Linked DNA regions of Drosophila melanogaster. The protein of the gene in region 2 interacts with the protein of the main gene of each other region in a pairwise test. Each region holds a gene or a part of one and is shown on either strand. Other genes may lie near its edges.

Evidence for each region. The genes of interacting proteins can lie anywhere in the genome.
Region 1: the proteins of CG17162 (region 2) and Gnpnat interact in a two-hybrid assay, tested with the Drosophila melanogaster proteins (one large-scale study listed by BioGRID).
Region 3: the proteins of CG17162 (region 2) and Pp2B-14D interact in a two-hybrid assay, tested with the Drosophila melanogaster proteins (one large-scale study listed by BioGRID).

Annotation. Positions count from the first base shown.
Region 1 is NT_033777.3:29,738,470-29,742,431, reverse strand, and holds Gnpnat (Glucosamine-phosphate N-acetyltransferase), read right to left. Parts: upstream 2,082-3,962; 5' UTR 2,028-2,081; coding exon 2,013-2,027; intron 1,865-2,012; coding exon 1,654-1,864; intron 1,593-1,653; coding exon 1,465-1,592; intron 1,404-1,464; coding exon 1,342-1,403; intron 1,283-1,341; coding exon 1,063-1,282; coding exon of another isoform or gene 1,000-1,062; exon of another isoform or gene 735-999; coding exon 693-734; 3' UTR 665-692; coding exon of another isoform or gene 623-664; 3' UTR 528-622; downstream 1-527. Other genes in the region: Wdr24 (WD repeat domain 24), read left to right, coding at 1-185.
Region 2 is NC_004354.4:23,093,715-23,098,716, reverse strand, and holds the start of CG17162 (uncharacterized protein), read left to right. Parts: upstream 1-1,982; 5' UTR 1,983-2,284; intron 2,285-5,002. Other genes in the region: su(f) (suppressor of forked), read right to left, coding at 1-103, 162-437, 602-924, 986-1,021.
Region 3 is NC_004354.4:16,554,100-16,561,655, reverse strand, and holds Pp2B-14D (protein phosphatase 2B at 14D), read left to right. Parts: upstream 1-1,639; 5' UTR 1,640-2,248; coding exon 2,249-3,961; 3' UTR 3,962-7,029; downstream 7,030-7,556. UniProt on the Drosophila melanogaster protein: Calcium-dependent, calmodulin-stimulated protein phosphatase. This subunit may have a role in the calmodulin activation of calcineurin.

The sequences.
Region 1 (3,962 bases), on a different chromosome or scaffold from region 2:
GATGGTACTGCGACAAGTGCAAGTCCATGCAGTCCGCCAAGTGCTGCGTCTGCGGTCTGATCGTCCGGGGAGTCTACGCCTGGTGCCAAGGATGCTCCCACGGCGGTCACATAGAGCACCTGCAGAAGTACTTTGCCAAACACTCCAAGTGCCCCAAGTGCGGACACCTTTGCGCGTACTCATGAGACGCGGAGGAGGCTGGGTTTGCCCAGCTTTTGCCCCCCATTTGAGAGCCTTGTAAATAGAGAAGACTTAAGCCCAATAAGTACCTTGCACTAGACACTAAACAGATTTTTATATAAATGTAGCTCGAAGATGTAAACTTGTAAAATAAGCTCAACGTTTGTGAAGTAAATTAACAGACAGGTTTAATCGATCTTCTGCAACTTTAAATAGCACAAATGTTTGTTACTTAACTTTTTTTGAAATATTGGAAAATAAAACTGTTGTCTGTTGATGCAAGTAAGTTTATAAACATTCTGGGCTTTTGAAAAAAGTGTCCACTTTATTGAATTTCTTCAATCATTAAAGGTTTTTGAAAGATTCGTATTGGGTTTTAATCGCTATTGTTGATTAGTGTTAATAACAGTTTAACAGTTATGCGAGTGTTTCAATCTTAGGGCTACTTGATGAAGGTGCTCTTAAAAGGTAATATTACAACCACCTTGGAGTTGAGAGGTCGAGCCGCACATTCAGTAGCAGAAAGGGGAGAAAAAATTATAAAATTGAGAGTTCTGTAGGGATTAAAAACAGAGAGCAACATATGTTGCGGTTGTCTTTAACTAAATATCTAATTGTATGTCCTCGCGGGTGGGTGGACAAGCACGTCCGTCCACAAGGACACCACCGCCAGCCAGCGCTGTCCAAAAATCCATCATGCCCTCAGCGCAATGGAATTTTGGCAATGCCTATATGCATTTAATGTTTTCTTAGAATCCAATTTTAGTTTTGTTGCATTGCGCTTCGCGCATTTGTAACTTTGAGATGGGGTGCTCCCACTCAAAGCTTGGACTTTGGAGCAGCGTTGGCGGCTAATTGTCAAGAGGCAAAATCGAGGCTCACAGTTTGGCAGGAGTCGCCCACTGTTCCACTGGAGCCGGCTGAGGTAGCATTCCGCTTGAGCGTTGGCCCCTCATCGTAGCGAATCGTCATGGAGTTGGAGTTTCCGGGAATGGCCACATAGCCCAGCGACTCATAGAACTTGATCAGCTTGTCCTTGCAGTCCAGCGACATTTTGTAGCAGCCCAGTTCCTCGGCCAGCAGCGATACGGTGACCACGATCCTGAATAGTAAGTCCGCGGATTAATGTTTCTTGTTGGGAAAATGATATACAACGCTTACAGTTTTCCCAGTTGCTTCCCGCGATACGTGTCATTGACCACCACATCCTCTAGACGGCCACGCTGAAGAATGAATCATAAGTTAAGCTAAATCATGGATCCTTTTCTCATCTTCTTCACTTACCACAGCACAGTTATGGATGAACTTGCGCTCGATCACCAAGGATGCAGCTCCAATAATCTCATTCTTGCGAGTGTCCTCAATGACGGTGACAAAGTAGTCCCCACTGGCTTTCATCTGCGAAAAGCGGGCTAGAAAAGATGGAGGTGGTCAGTACAAATACTACATTCCTAACTGAAAGTCACGACTCACTCAAGAACTGCGTACGATTCACATTGCCGACATGGGTGAGTTGCGAGAGCAGCTGCAGGAATCCACGATCGTAGTCGGTGTCCTTGAGAGGACGCACTTTCATCCAGGGCTCGCCGGGATTGGCCGCCGATATGAAGGGCTTAAAGTTGGCGGGACTGCGATGAAAGTCCAGCTTTAGCAGCAGATTAGGATCGTACAGATATGTCTCCTCCTGTAGAATTCAAAGTATAGAGTTTAAGTATATAGTATCTTTAAAATAGTATCAAGATGGGAGATAATTGTACATATGTACTAGATTTATGAGTGATTTGCTGATTAGGGATGCTTTCTATGGACTGAGTTTTAGTGATTGCGACTACCGTAAGTTGCACCATTTTCGCAGTGGACTTCACACGTCAGCAAGTGACGCCGATGGAGGCAAAACTGAAGGTAAAACTCAGTCAACAGGTAAGAAGGTGGAGCCGCGATAACAGGAATGGTATCAAGAACTGGTTTCTTGCACCCAACACTTTCGATTCGTTGGTGGCCAACTGGTTTTGCCTCATTTGCTATCATTTACGTTCAGTTCTCCTATTTTTGGCGCATAAATTACATAGTACGAGCAAACCGGTAAAGTGCGTAGATCCACCGACTAGTATCGATTTAGTTTGTTGTGGTTTCAGCAAGGATTAAAACGAACAACGTGGGCTCGAGGTCGCGGTGACTGAACTGCCACATGGTCACGTTTTTCATATATTTTTCGTACGGCATTGCACAGAAAGTATCTATGTGCCACTAATTATTTTTAAAAGCCTCTTACCATGATTTTATCTAATGTCTGATAATGATAGTGAAGCACCCGTTAGCACTTTTCCCAATCTCCCGCAACGAAACTAACAAAATGAAGCGGAAGTTTTTCCGGCCGCTTTTATCGGTCGAAGTTGCGGAGCAGACTGAGCGAAAAACACAAGCCGCGCACAATTCCCGTTGAAATACAGAAAGCCAGGCGCTAATTGGCAGTCAAGAGAGGCTAAAAACAACTGGAAAAGGTAAAAAAGTTGCAGTTTCAACCAGAGAACTGCAAGGGTGGCACTTTTTTACCACTCGACTCACACCCTACAATTTTGTGTGCGGGTGCTACTCGCCACGCACATCGCGGGTACTTACAAACACACAGTATAAATCTGAACATGCAGACAAGACACCCCGTTGTGTGCGCACCCGAATCAATACGGTGTTTTGCGTCGCGGGTGCCGCTCACACAGTGCCTAAAAAGGGATGAGTGAGAAAAACACTTGTGGGTATACCGTTAAACACATGGGTGTTTCCAAAAATACTCGGGTGTTTCCAAAAATACTCGAGTGGTCTCGTAGGTAGTCGAGTCAAATGGCGCCATACATAATGATTGTTGAGTTCTTGTGTCTTTGGTCCAGTGTCTCGGCTGTTAATTGCCCCTTTTTTGTTTTTTACGATGCAATTACTAGCTTGTTAGGATTCAGTATTATTTGGAAGCCAAAGGAAAAGGTCACAATAATGGCAGAAGCGGCTGATTTCGTTAAAAATAAAATTAACAATGGAACATACTCAGTTGCCAATAAACATAAAGGAAAAAGTGTTATTTGGAGCATTTTATGTGACATTTTAAAGGAAGATGAAACTGTTCTGGACGGATGGCTGTTCTGCAGGCAATGCCAGAAAGTGCTCAAATTTTTACACAAAAACACCTCCAATTTATCCCGCCATAAATGTTGTCTAACATTAAGACGACCAACGGAATTAAAAATTGTTTCGGAAAACGACAAGAAAGTAGCTATTGAAAAATGCACCCAATGGGTTGTCCAAGATTGTCGGCCGTTTTCTGCAGTAACCGGAGCCGGATTTAAAAATTTGGTGAAGTTTTTCCTACAAATCGGCGCTATCTATGGGGAACAGGTAGACGTCGATGACTTACTACCTGATCCAACAACATTAAGTCCTTATATTTAATAGATACTTTTTAAGCCCACTATGTTTTTATTATTTAGATTGAGACATTAAAAAACGTAAAAATCAACAAATGCCGTCTTTAATTGCAATTACTTTATGTGTTTGAAATGGGAGGCACCCATTGAGTCCATCAAAGAGCAAAGACATGAGCACAAAAATTTTCTTGGGTATTCCCTTTTACCCTTCATTTCTTATACCCGTCACGCTTCCACCCATACAAATTTTAGGCGTACAAAAAATGACCAGAGAACTGCAGCCCGCATACAAAAAATGACCTGCGGCCGATCGTTGACTGTGCGTCCACTCACCCATACGGCTCTTGCGCAGCAGGCCTCGGGTGGTTT
Region 2 (5,002 bases):
CTCCTCTTTTGTGAGTGTGGGTGGGACGGCTGGCAGATTGCGATTGAGACCCTTTGTGTGGTATTCCAACTCTTTGGCAACACGACGAGCGTTCATGTAATCCCTGGTTTTAAGTTGGAATTTAGAAAGAACATTTAGCAAACTCTGCGTATAACACTCACTTAGATCGCTCCAGACTCATCTTCTCTGATATAATCGGGTTTATGTTTTGCTCGAATGCGATATAGTCCTTCCACAACTGCTCGATGCCCACGATAGGTGTGACTACAGCCTTTTGATAGACGCGGCGCACTGCTGTGATCTTTTGGTTCTCTGCATAGTTGCCCACTGCTTCAACGCCCCGCAGAAAGTATATGTAATCCTGCCAGATGCTGAACGAGTGTAGATCCATGCCGATTTTCTCCAGTGCAAAATCATAAGCCTGGGCCATTTTTTCTCTGAGAAAAGAGATAAGTCCAATAAAATAAGCGTGTCAGAATAACACAAATGTTGTGCATCAAAAAAAACAATATGCTCGCTGCATTGCAAGTTTTGACTAAAATTATAATAGTTTCTAAGATGTCAAATTATGTGAATTATTTAAATAAGGTATAACAGTTACTTGTGAGTACTTAGACCCGACTTGGTTTCCTTCACGTAGGTAAGATAGAGCTTCCAGAGGTCGATGTTCAAAATCTTGACTAGGCAGCGTTGAAAAAGTTTCTCCACGCGTTCATAGTACCGGCTGCGCATCTCCATCTCAATGTATAGCTTCCAGTACCGAGCGGTTGTCGGAAACACATTAACTAGCGACTCGTAAAGACTGCGTACTTCGTGGATTGGCCGCGTTTGGGCCTCTCGGATCATGACACTCCAGGACTCGATGTCATAGGGCCGCAGCTCCACCACTTGCTGAGCTCGCACCAGGCGCTCCATGCCCCATTCCTTGTCATCGATAAGTAAAAATATGTTGTTACCATCCAAATAAAGCCAATGTTTTACTTACTATGTCGACTTTGATAAGGTCTCTGGCCGAAGACATTGCTAATAGTCTTTGCAAATTGTCGTTGAGTCCTGCTTGCGCTGCTCCTTGGCCCGGGAAAGTTCCTTTCTTCCGTTGAACTTTCGCTACGCAATTACCTAAAGCAACGCTTGGATGCCGCTTTTCCGAATTCTTTTAGAAGTTGCAATGCGGCTGCTTAGATATCGACGACTGATTGGATGTAACTGCGATAGTGTCATCGCCAATCACATCGCGGGCCTTACCATTAAAATCCCAAGATTTGGGATGTGTAGTACAGCGGTCACTGATTATAAACTATAAATAAAAAAGATATATGGTTTTAACATACTTTAAAGGTACTAAATCTGTAAATAATGAATTCAAGCAGAAGCAATATTTTTTATAGCTTGTTTCCACTGAAACATTTTTCTGTACGTTGCTAAGGTGAAGGTTGTTAACAGATACTTTGAACCGTTTAAGTTCTATGTAATAGTAAGTAAAAGAGGTAATATTTAATAAAAAGGCATTTTTAGGAAGCCTGGAATTGTATGCCTAGTAGCGTAACTAGGTACGAATTTTTCCTGATTACCCTATAACATTATACATTAAAACAATATAACATAATATGAGGTAAAGGTATTCTTGGTATTGTGGTATTCGAACAAACATAACTATGAAAACACACGAAAACATTATAATTTAAGTCAATGGATTGTTCTTAAATGTTTTAGACACGAGTCCAAGTGATAACAAAATTCAACAAGGTTAACGGAACTTATTTTTTGCTATAAGAAATAGAAAGTGAAACGCACCTTTCTTCAGCAACTGTAGTGTTAAATTGTTTTAAGAATTTACTTACAGAGAAATGTTTTATTGAAATTTAATTTTTTCTTTTGTTGTTTCTTTTTCATGTTGAGGGTTCAACATTCCCACAATTTAACAGTTTAAGGAATACCCAGAATCTAACCCTAGAAATAGATTGGTATATTTATCGATATTAATTCAGTACCAGTATGCGGTCACATTGGGTAAGTGTCAAAAAAGTTTTAAAACAAACGCTAAACAATCAGGAGTGGCAATCAAACGAAACCAAGCGCATTTATTAGCCGAGAGATAATTCGAGTTAAATTCGCAACTAGTATTAGTATCATTCATTGAAACCGATTTATTAAACTGCCAAGGTAGACAAGACACACACACATGTGCGTGTTTCCGGAGAGCATCACAATCATTGCAGACCTAGAGGCCAACAGCTGTTGTTGATGTCCTAGCGGTATATTTACGGTTTATAGACTTCGACAAGTTAGTGAAATTATTACCGTTCCTGGGTCACTCTCCCTTACCTAATACCTCTGTGGGTGTGTGTGCTAAGGCGCAATAAGTGTGTCACACTGACGCGGTTTTGTGTTTCAAAGTAGAACAAACACTGTGTGTGTGTATCCCTCACATATGCATTAGCTTTGTCTCTGTTATATTGGCCAATGTTTATTCCTGCATACCAGAAATAAATAAACAAAGAAATCATTCTCTAAGCTGTGTTGCAAGCACAAAAAAAATTTTGTCTGCAACGATAAGTTTTTCCCTTGATACAAATATTTATATATCTTTTGAGCCATAGCGTTTTTTCATTCTGCAAAATTAGTTTTATTCAATGTGGTTTGTATTATGTGTTTTTGACTATCAAAACTATCAAAAAATCGTGTATTAAGGGGACTTTATACCGTAAAAATGTATGTTGTCTTACTAAAATATTTTTGTTATAAAAACTTAACTTTCAAAAGGGATTTAAAGCGAATGCAACAAAACTCATTCATGAAATATACCTTATTTTGTAGCTTATTTAATTCTTGTTTAGATAGTTGTAATTAAAAAGTGCATTCTTTGCGATTTTCGGAGAAATTATAGTTTTTAGGTCCTTACCCTACTTGTTCAAATGCAGAGTAATTTTAGCTAAAAGGGAGTTAAAAATGCCTGTTGGTGAATTGATTCATTAATTTGTTATTATGTTTGTGTTTACTTTTTTGTAAAATAATTCAATATGCAACCACTACCACGAAATCAGTTGTTCTTTGCTTGGACTAGAAAAAGCATACGAAATTAGGGAAATACCTATACAAAATTAGTTAATTAAATATAAGAGGCGGTGCCACGGCCACAATTTTTGGTATCATAAAAGATAATGGCAAAAAAATTTAAATATCTTTATCCGTTCTAGAGTTACAAACTACAACAAATATAAGGGGCGGTTTCAGAACGGATATATTGTAACCCAATCTGAATATCTTTCAACGTCCTGGAGTTATTCATTTTGGGCAGAAAAAGTGGTAAAATTTCACATAGTGGTACGTGGGCAAGTTTTGAAATATTCGCACACCCTAACGACGGCAAACCGCCCAAAAGGTTCACACCCACACTTTTGTGAAATGTTATAATTATTTTTCATTGCATTTTTTGATTTTTTGCTACTTTGTATCGCTTTGCCAAAATACCTCCACCATCTCATTCGAACGCCAACCAAATTTTTTAAATATGTTTAGACTTTTTTATTTGGTTATTATACCCGTTACTCGTAGAGTAACGTAGATTCGTTTAAAGGAATGTAACACGCAGAAGGAAGCGTTTCCGACTGTATAACGGATCAATAGCCGAGTCGATATAGCCATGTCCGTCTGTCCGTATGAACGTCGAGATCTCAGGAACTATAAAAGCTGGAAGGCGGAGATTTAGCATGCAGATTCTAGAGACAAAGACGCAGCGCAAGTTTGTTGATCCATGTTGCAACGCCCACAAGCCCACGAAAAAATGCCACAAGCACTCTTTTGAAAAATATATTGATATTTTTTCACATCTTTATTAGTCTTGTAAATTCCGATCGATGTGCAAAAAAAAACTGTTTGCCACACCCACTGTGACGCCCTTAAGCCGACAAACCGGTCACGCCCCACTTTTGAAAATTGTTGAAATTTTTTCTCATTTTATTCCCCAACATCTTTTGGTATCGCAGAAAAATATCTGGGTTAACGGGTATCTGATATTCAGGCAACTCGACTATAGCATTCTCTCTTGTTATTCTAAACAATTTTATGGATATGACAATCAAGTTTCAAAGTTTCTCCCTCGTTCTCCCCTTAGTTGAGTGGCGCTAGTGGAGAAAATCTATAGCGGTTCCTTTTGTTATTTTAACTTTTTTCCTAAACTAATTTTCCATAACAGAGATAAATTAGTTGGAAATTGTCAATATATTTCTAAATTAATTTGCTTTCTTTAAATATCAATTTATTTAATAGATAGAAAATTCATTTCGTCCTGTCTGTGTTACCAAAATATTTAGAACACTTAACAAAAATTCATATAACGTTCTGTTATATGAATTGCTGTTTGATTAACGAATGATTAAAACGTTTAAAACGTTACGTTTCGAAAATCAGAAAAAAGGAAAGAAATGCATACATTATCTTAACTTCAAAGCTTTTAAAGTTTTCGAGGTGACAGCCCCCTTACGGACAGACAGACTTTACCATATCAATTCGGCTAGTGATCCTAATCAGGAATATTGTACATATATATGTATATGTATACCGCATTAAAAGAGCATACAAAAAATTTCTGAATTCTACGACATCGAAATACAAAATACAAAGATAAAAAATACTTGTAGAGTAAAAGGGTATAGTTGATTCGTTGGAAAGTATGTAACAGGTAGAATAAAGCGTTTATAGCTTCAGTTTCAGGAACTATAAAAGCTAGAATGTTGAGATTAACCATTACCACTCTAACGCCCACAAACCGCCCAAAACTAAAAAAATTTGTTTCATGGTTTTATAAGTCTTGTACATATCTACCAATTCGCAAAAAAAAATTTTGGCACGCACACTCTACCGCCCACAAACCACCCAAAACTGTCACGCCTACATTGGAATAATTTTTAAATTAGTTTCCATTTTATTATTTTGGTTTCCAATTTCTGCCGATATTCTAAAAGACATATTGAAATATGTCGTTCCACCTGAGTAACGATAG
Region 3 (7,556 bases), 6.5 Mb from region 2:
CCACTCATCTCATCCATTGCAATGCGAATGAAAACCTTTTCATCATATGTATGTATGTATGTAATTATATACGTTACCTTAATTTTTTTGATACATGTATTTTTCAACATCTACTTCCTGCCCTCGAATGCTTTAAAAACTTTACACGAAAAAGAAAACAATTTAATATATATTATAAACAAAAAAGAAATGGACAAAGAAAAGCAAAAACAAAAAAAAAACAAGAAAAACCAAGTGAAGAAAAAACCAAAAAACAATTAAAACTTTACCTTTTGGATAAATCAATTTAAATGCATATTTTATATATATTTAAACATTTATTTATATATAACATGTATGATAAATATAAGTTGGAAAAACTTTGTCAAAGCAAAAAGTTTATATACTTATATTAAAGAAAAACAAAAAACAAATGGATGGAAGATGGGAAAGGAAAACCAAAAACCAAATAAATAATATTAAAAATGCAACATAACAAATTAACAAACAAGAAAACATCACATCTAGATAAATCTCTTAAAAATTTTCAATTTTATTATTAAACCGAAACCAAAGTTAATGGATAAACAAATTTATAAACTGTATTGCAAGGGGCAGCTGGCTGGCAAAAATTACATAAAATTTGCGCCGTTGTGACAAAAATTGTACGCAATCCAAGGAAGATAACAAATTAATTTACAAGATAAAGATGATGATAATGGAGATGTAGACGATGGAGAATAAATGAAGGCAACAACAAAATGCAGACAACAAGTTTTAACCTTAAGTGAATGCAAAACAAAATGAAGAAACCCAATGAAAACAAAATGATTATCAATGTTATTAACATAATTAATATTAACAAAAACGAAAAAAAAAGAACAAGCAAAAAAAAAAAACAAAAACAACCAAAAAAGAAATACAAAAACATTAAAAAAAATATACAAGTACCTATCCTGAGAATAAAATGCGCGCACATTTATTATTTCCTCTAAAAGTTCGTTTGAGTCGATTTCGCCACCGGGGAATTTCAGAATAAGCATATACATATTTAATCCCGGGAAGCATATCCACCAGTAGAAGGCTGGAGAAGTGGTGGACTGAGTGAGTAATGTCCAGAATTTGCTCGAAAATTAAGGAAGAGGTAAGTGTAAGTGGGGCGAAACCGACAGGTGGCCAAGAATTTCAATAATGAGGTTTTTACCTATATTGATAAATTCAGCATCTGGGCTCTCATATTCTCTAATTTTAATTCATTTTATAATGTTTAGTTAACTACGTTTAAAGAATAATTAAGATGAACGGCTTAATTGATAGCTTAAGCTTTTTTAAAATAAAATGTTTTCCAGTTGACATTTTGAATATGTACCAAGTCCAATTGGATATAATTATCAAAGTTTAGCACCTTGTGGTACATTGCTGTGCGGAATTTGTTCAGATTTTAATTTTGCGCCACCATCTACATCTTTAAAGTGAATATATTGTTAGAAAGGAGATAAAAGTAAGCGTATTCATTTAGAATATTAAATATACAGAGAAAGATATAATTTTGCACGTACCTTACTCGACTACTTCCATGACTTCCATTCCAGGTGCGAGTCTCGACTAGAGTACACATTCCAGCGGCCGTGTAGTAAGTTTGAGCTTTTGAGCCACGGCCACACTGCAGAAAATTCCATTAAAAAAAGCGAGAAAAAAAACGTAGCGAAAGAGAGAAATTACGACGTCTGCAGGGCCGAAGCGAAAAAAGTAGCAAATACTGAAACAGAGTGACTATGATTGTTGTTAAGTGAAAGCAGCACTTTTGGAAAACGGCTAGGCCAGCGGCGCAGGCCACGGAAGAAAGCAGCGGAGTCAGCGTTCCAAAATCAAAGCAAAGCCAGCGGAAAGTAAAGGAAAGCGAATCAAAGCTGGAAGGCGATAAAGCGGCTCACCAGGCACTCCAACAACAACAGCAACAATAGCAACAACAGTAGGAGCAGCAGCAACAACCACACAGCAGCAGCAGCAGCAGCCAGGGAAAGTACCAGAGTGTGAGTGAGTGAGTGAGCGAGTGTGCGTGTGCGTGTGTGTGGGTAGTGGAAACAGAACTGAGCCGTGAGAGAGCGAGAGCGGGAGAGCGAGAGCGGGAGAGCGAGCTAGTGGAAGTGGGAGCGGGAGAGGAGCAGTCCGATTCCGAATCCCGGAATAGAAACCAGGAAAAAGGAAACGGGAAGCAGTAGCCGTAGAAGCAGAGCCAAAAACCGAAACAGAAACAGAAGTCTCAACCATGTCTTCGAATAACCAGAGCAGCAGCGTTGCCCAGGCGGCAACAAGTGCCCGCACCGTCAGTGCCGGATCGGCGGAAGCCACAGATGCCAATAGTACCGCCTCGAACAACAACAATAATAGCAGCAGTACCGCTGCAGCGGGCAACAACAGCGACAACAGCAGTCCCACCACTGGAACGGGCACAGGAGCGAGCACTGGAAAGCTGCACGGCGGCCACACGGCAGTAAACACCAAGGAACGGGTGGTGGACAGCGTTCCCTTCCCGCCCAGCCACAAGCTGACCTTGGCGGAGGTGTTCGACCAACGCACCGGCAAGCCCAACCATGAGCTGCTCAAGCAGCACTTCATTCTTGAGGGCAGAATCGAGGAGGCGCCCGCCCTGAAAATCATCCAGGACGGAGCCGCCCTGCTGCGTCAGGAGAAGACGATGATCGATATTGAGGCGCCGGTGACGGTGTGCGGTGATATCCACGGCCAGTTCTACGACCTGATGAAGCTGTTCGAAGTGGGCGGCTCGCCCGCGAGCACCAAGTATCTGTTCCTGGGCGACTACGTCGATCGGGGCTACTTCAGCATCGAGTGCGTCCTGTATTTGTGGTCGCTAAAGATCACCTATCCGCAGACGCTGTTCCTGCTGCGCGGCAACCACGAGTGCCGGCACTTAACCGAGTACTTCACCTTCAAGCAGGAGTGCAAGATCAAGTACTCGGAGCGCGTGTACGACGCCTGCATGGACGCATTCGACTGCCTGCCGCTGGCGGCGCTAATGAACCAGCAGTTCCTCTGCGTGCACGGCGGTCTGTCGCCGGAGATACACGAGCTGGAGGACATCCGGCGGCTCGACCGCTTCAAGGAGCCGCCCGCCTTTGGCCCCATGTGCGACCTGCTGTGGTCCGATCCCCTGGAGGACTTTGGCAACGAGAAGAACTCGGACTTCTACACGCACAACTCCGTGCGCGGATGCTCGTACTTCTACAGCTACGCCGCCTGCTGCGACTTCCTGCAGAACAACAACCTGCTGTCGATCATCCGGGCGCACGAGGCGCAGGACGCCGGCTACCGCATGTACCGCAAAAGCCAGACCACCGGCTTCCCCTCGCTGATCACCATCTTCTCGGCGCCCAACTATCTCGACGTGTACAACAACAAGGCGGCGGTGCTGAAGTACGAGAACAACGTGATGAACATCCGGCAATTCAACTGCTCGCCGCACCCGTACTGGCTGCCCAACTTCATGGACGTGTTCACCTGGTCGCTACCCTTCGTGGGCGAGAAGGTCACCGAGATGTTGGTGAACGTGCTGAACATCTGCTCCGACGACGAGCTCATGACCGAGGAGAGCGAGGAGCCGCTCTCCGACGACGAGGCGGCGCTGCGCAAGGAGGTGATACGCAACAAGATCCGTGCCATTGGCAAGATGGCGCGCGTCTTCTCCGTGCTGCGCGAGGAGTCCGAGTCGGTGCTGCAGCTGAAGGGCCTGACGCCCACGGGCGCCCTGCCCCTCGGCGCCCTCTCCGGCGGCAAGCAGTCGCTCAAGAACGCCATGCAGGGCTTCTCGCCCAACCACAAGATTACCTCGTTCGCGGAGGCCAAGGGCCTGGATGCCGTCAACGAACGGATGCCGCCGCGGCGGGATCAGCCGCCCACGCCCAGCGAGGATCCGAATCAGCACAGTCAGCAGGGCGGCAAAAATGGGGCTGGACATGGGTAAGCTGTGCCATCTAGTGCGGCTGCAGGACGAGGATGCAGATGCAGATGCGGCACGGTGGAGTCTGGCGAGGTCTGAATTGGTCTGAAGGAGGGGCTGAGTGGAGCGGAGCGGAGGCAACACAAAGAACACCAACCGAACGGAACCTTAATTAAACTTAATGTGGCAGAGCAACAACTTAAATACTAAAACCAATTCTAATTCTAAGTAATTGTCATAACCCCCTGCATTTCGTATGTGATCCCGCACCAGCTCCATGCCCATGTCTATGTCCATGGCCCAGAGCCTCCAAACCGACGGCACGGAGCAGAGATTTGTTTTTACGCAGGCGCGCGCACATTGGATATTAAAATTATGTGTGGCATACTTTGGCGCGCCGGCCCCCAAAACGGAAAATTCCCTTTCGCGATAGAAGAAAACCAACCCATAACGTAACCCATAACCTAGCTTAAGTTGTAATGTATAAACTATAAACTGAAATGGGCAAATTTTAAAATGGAAAATGAACAAAACGGAAAGAGCTAATTGAAATCCCTCCCCCTGCGATAATGCGATAATTTAAGATGAAAAACCCCAGCAGAATCCCCATAATCCCCAGAGGCAAGAAACACTAATCCAATTGAAGAGATATGGGAAACAAAATCCAGCGCTAATCTGTTCCAAACATTTAGCAGCGGCAAAAAAGAAGCGTACATATATGTATACATATGATTATTTAGAAATATCGAGGCGCAGTGCCGAGATGCAACCGAAAGTGTAATGAAATTTGAAATGAGCAAAGGTCATTTTTTGTAATAATCGTAATCCTTGAACTCTAGAAATGTAATCTTGCATAGAAGAAACGAATGAAACAAGCAAACAAATTCGAAACCATTTGCAATATGTGCCGCAATAGTCCATAAATGTTCCTTATACGAATTAAACATTGAAAGTGAAATCAGAGTTTATTTTTTTTTTTTTAAATATATACTTAAATATATGTATATGTATTATTGTTGCATAATCTAACTTTTGACTTAATATGTTACATTTTACGTGTACGACTGTGTGTGTATAACTAACTATTTGCGTTTTATCAGTAGCTTGGCGAACAAAAAACAAAAAACAAAAAAAAACCAACCAAATGGCAAAAGCAAAAGCAAAGAAAAAGCAGCAAAAATCCATAAGAGATCACACAAGATGATAATCGTTGTTTGAGGATCACAGTCTAGCTAATTAATAAATTGATGAATAGGATCGATCGATTTCCATTGATGTGAATGCATTTTGAACACTGAAAGAACGGATCGTTTACCATTTAAATAGCAAATCAAATATTTAACTATTAAATTACTGTGTAAACCTAATAACGTATAATATATTTCTGCGTGTAAATTGAACTAAACGATTAATTAATTAACTAATTTAGCGAATCGATTTTTGTTGAGAGAGAAAGAGCGCTAGCACACACACACACACAAACACAAAACTTATTTTCCTTGACTTAGTATGAGCTAATTGCAATGAGATTAAGCGAATGAGATGTATTTAAGTAAGTATAAGGCATGGCACACACATGAGAAACGGATGAGTTTCGGCGTTTCAGATCAATTCAATGATAATGATGGCAATCAAGTTCTCAATTTGCGCCTACACCTCTTCCCAAAAACCGATGATATCAGCTTCTCCTTTATCACTAATCACAACCACTATCAATGCGAAATCAAAAGCTATAAGATATACCACATACATACTCACGCAAGAAATGCCTTCATCGAGATCATATTATCCACGAACCAAGAATATTAACGCTGTACTTTTGCTTCGACTCTTCAACCACCAATAATTGCATTGAACTCTAATCTAAATATTTATACAGATATATATATATATTATATACCGAGTTGGCATTGGAAAACAGTTAGTTTTAGTGATCTATGCACGTATCGTAACAATACCAAGATTAATTAAATCGTAGCTAAAAGAAACAAATCAAGGATGAGGCGGCAGTCGCAGAGTTTCCCTCTTAGCTTTTATAAAAAAAAAAAAGATGGAGAAATGGAAACAACTTACTCAACTAATTGAGAGATACACCATATTTATATAGATATATATATAGCGTTTTTTTTTTTTGTTAATCCTCCACCACAACTATATAATTATTGAAAGTTGATGAAAGCTGTTGGGCCGTTTAAGTTTCAGAGTTTCTGTTCTATATGTGGTTAAAATTGTTAATGTTGTTACACCGCAAATGCATACTTAGTTAGTTAGTCGAGTGAAATGGGAGTTCCCCCAAATCACATTTAATTGCAATAGTCTCGAGTATTGAACGCCAAGAACACCAATTCCATAGAATGATTGTATACACTCAGAAAATCAATCGGCATTTATGTTCGAAAATCGCCGCAAATATTTTCAACAAGTATGGGTTTTTACGGATTTAAAATAATGAAATTGAAAACTAAATTCCATATTGTTAGGCTATAAACAAATGTTTCTATTGATGGACAACATTTCAGGTATAATTTTTGAAAAACAACAAATATTTATTTCAATTGTTAATACCAAAATACGCATAGGTCAACAATTAAGTTTTAATTTTTTTTTTTTAATATAGTTTAATTATCAAAGAACTATACATTTTAAGCCATTAAACGTAGGCAATATTCAGATAATTTTCTGAAATAAATTAATTGTAAATTTTGGATTCTCTTAGGGCGATTTGCATTCCGAGTGTATCAAGAGCCATGGTAAATAATAAAGCTAAGAAGTATTAATAATTCTACACTATGTATGACTAACAATACATTTGCTTAGTTCCCTCGATAAAGAAAGTACATAACTATTGCATGAGGCATAGGCAAAACTTCCTGGCACATAGTAAAAGTAAATAATTGAATAGAACGGCTGAGGAGGAGATGAGTAGATTTTGATAATATGTACGTCAAGACCATGCCAACATACTTATGGGAACTATTTAAAAAGCATTAAAACGTTCAATATAACACATAATACCCAGACAAAAGCAGAATCAAAAAATGCGGGAACGAGACGGCTGCATGGTATATACATACATATATAAGACATTTCGCCTCTTAAAGCAATTATAAAGATAACAAATGAGTAACGTTTATTATATTATTAAATTATACATACATATACATACTATATAAACGGAATAAAATAAATCAGCAACAAACTTTCCATTTTATGGCGTTCGATCACTTAACTTTTTATCCTTGGGAGCAGTATTGTCAAGTTATCATTTTTCTTCTTAATTGCTTAAATTACAATTCTTTAAATACATGCATGTATTCAATGATGGCGCCAAATTTTGAACCTGTTTTAAGTCTTAATTCAAGAATATTTTTCCAAGTATGAGAGTGAACGAGAGGCAAGAGCGCAAACGAAAAATACCAGAAATCAATGTGAGTATTTTGAAATTTCAGCAATTGCCGAATTGGTTTTTCAAATAGATGTGATTAGTTGTTAAATTGCCAAATCTTTAATCCAATAATTTAATTAATAAAGTCTTAATTGAATTGAAATTGTTTTGTGTAAATCCTGTGCAAGTAACATATATTACTAATAAACTTGTATTTTTTAATCTTTTTTAAAT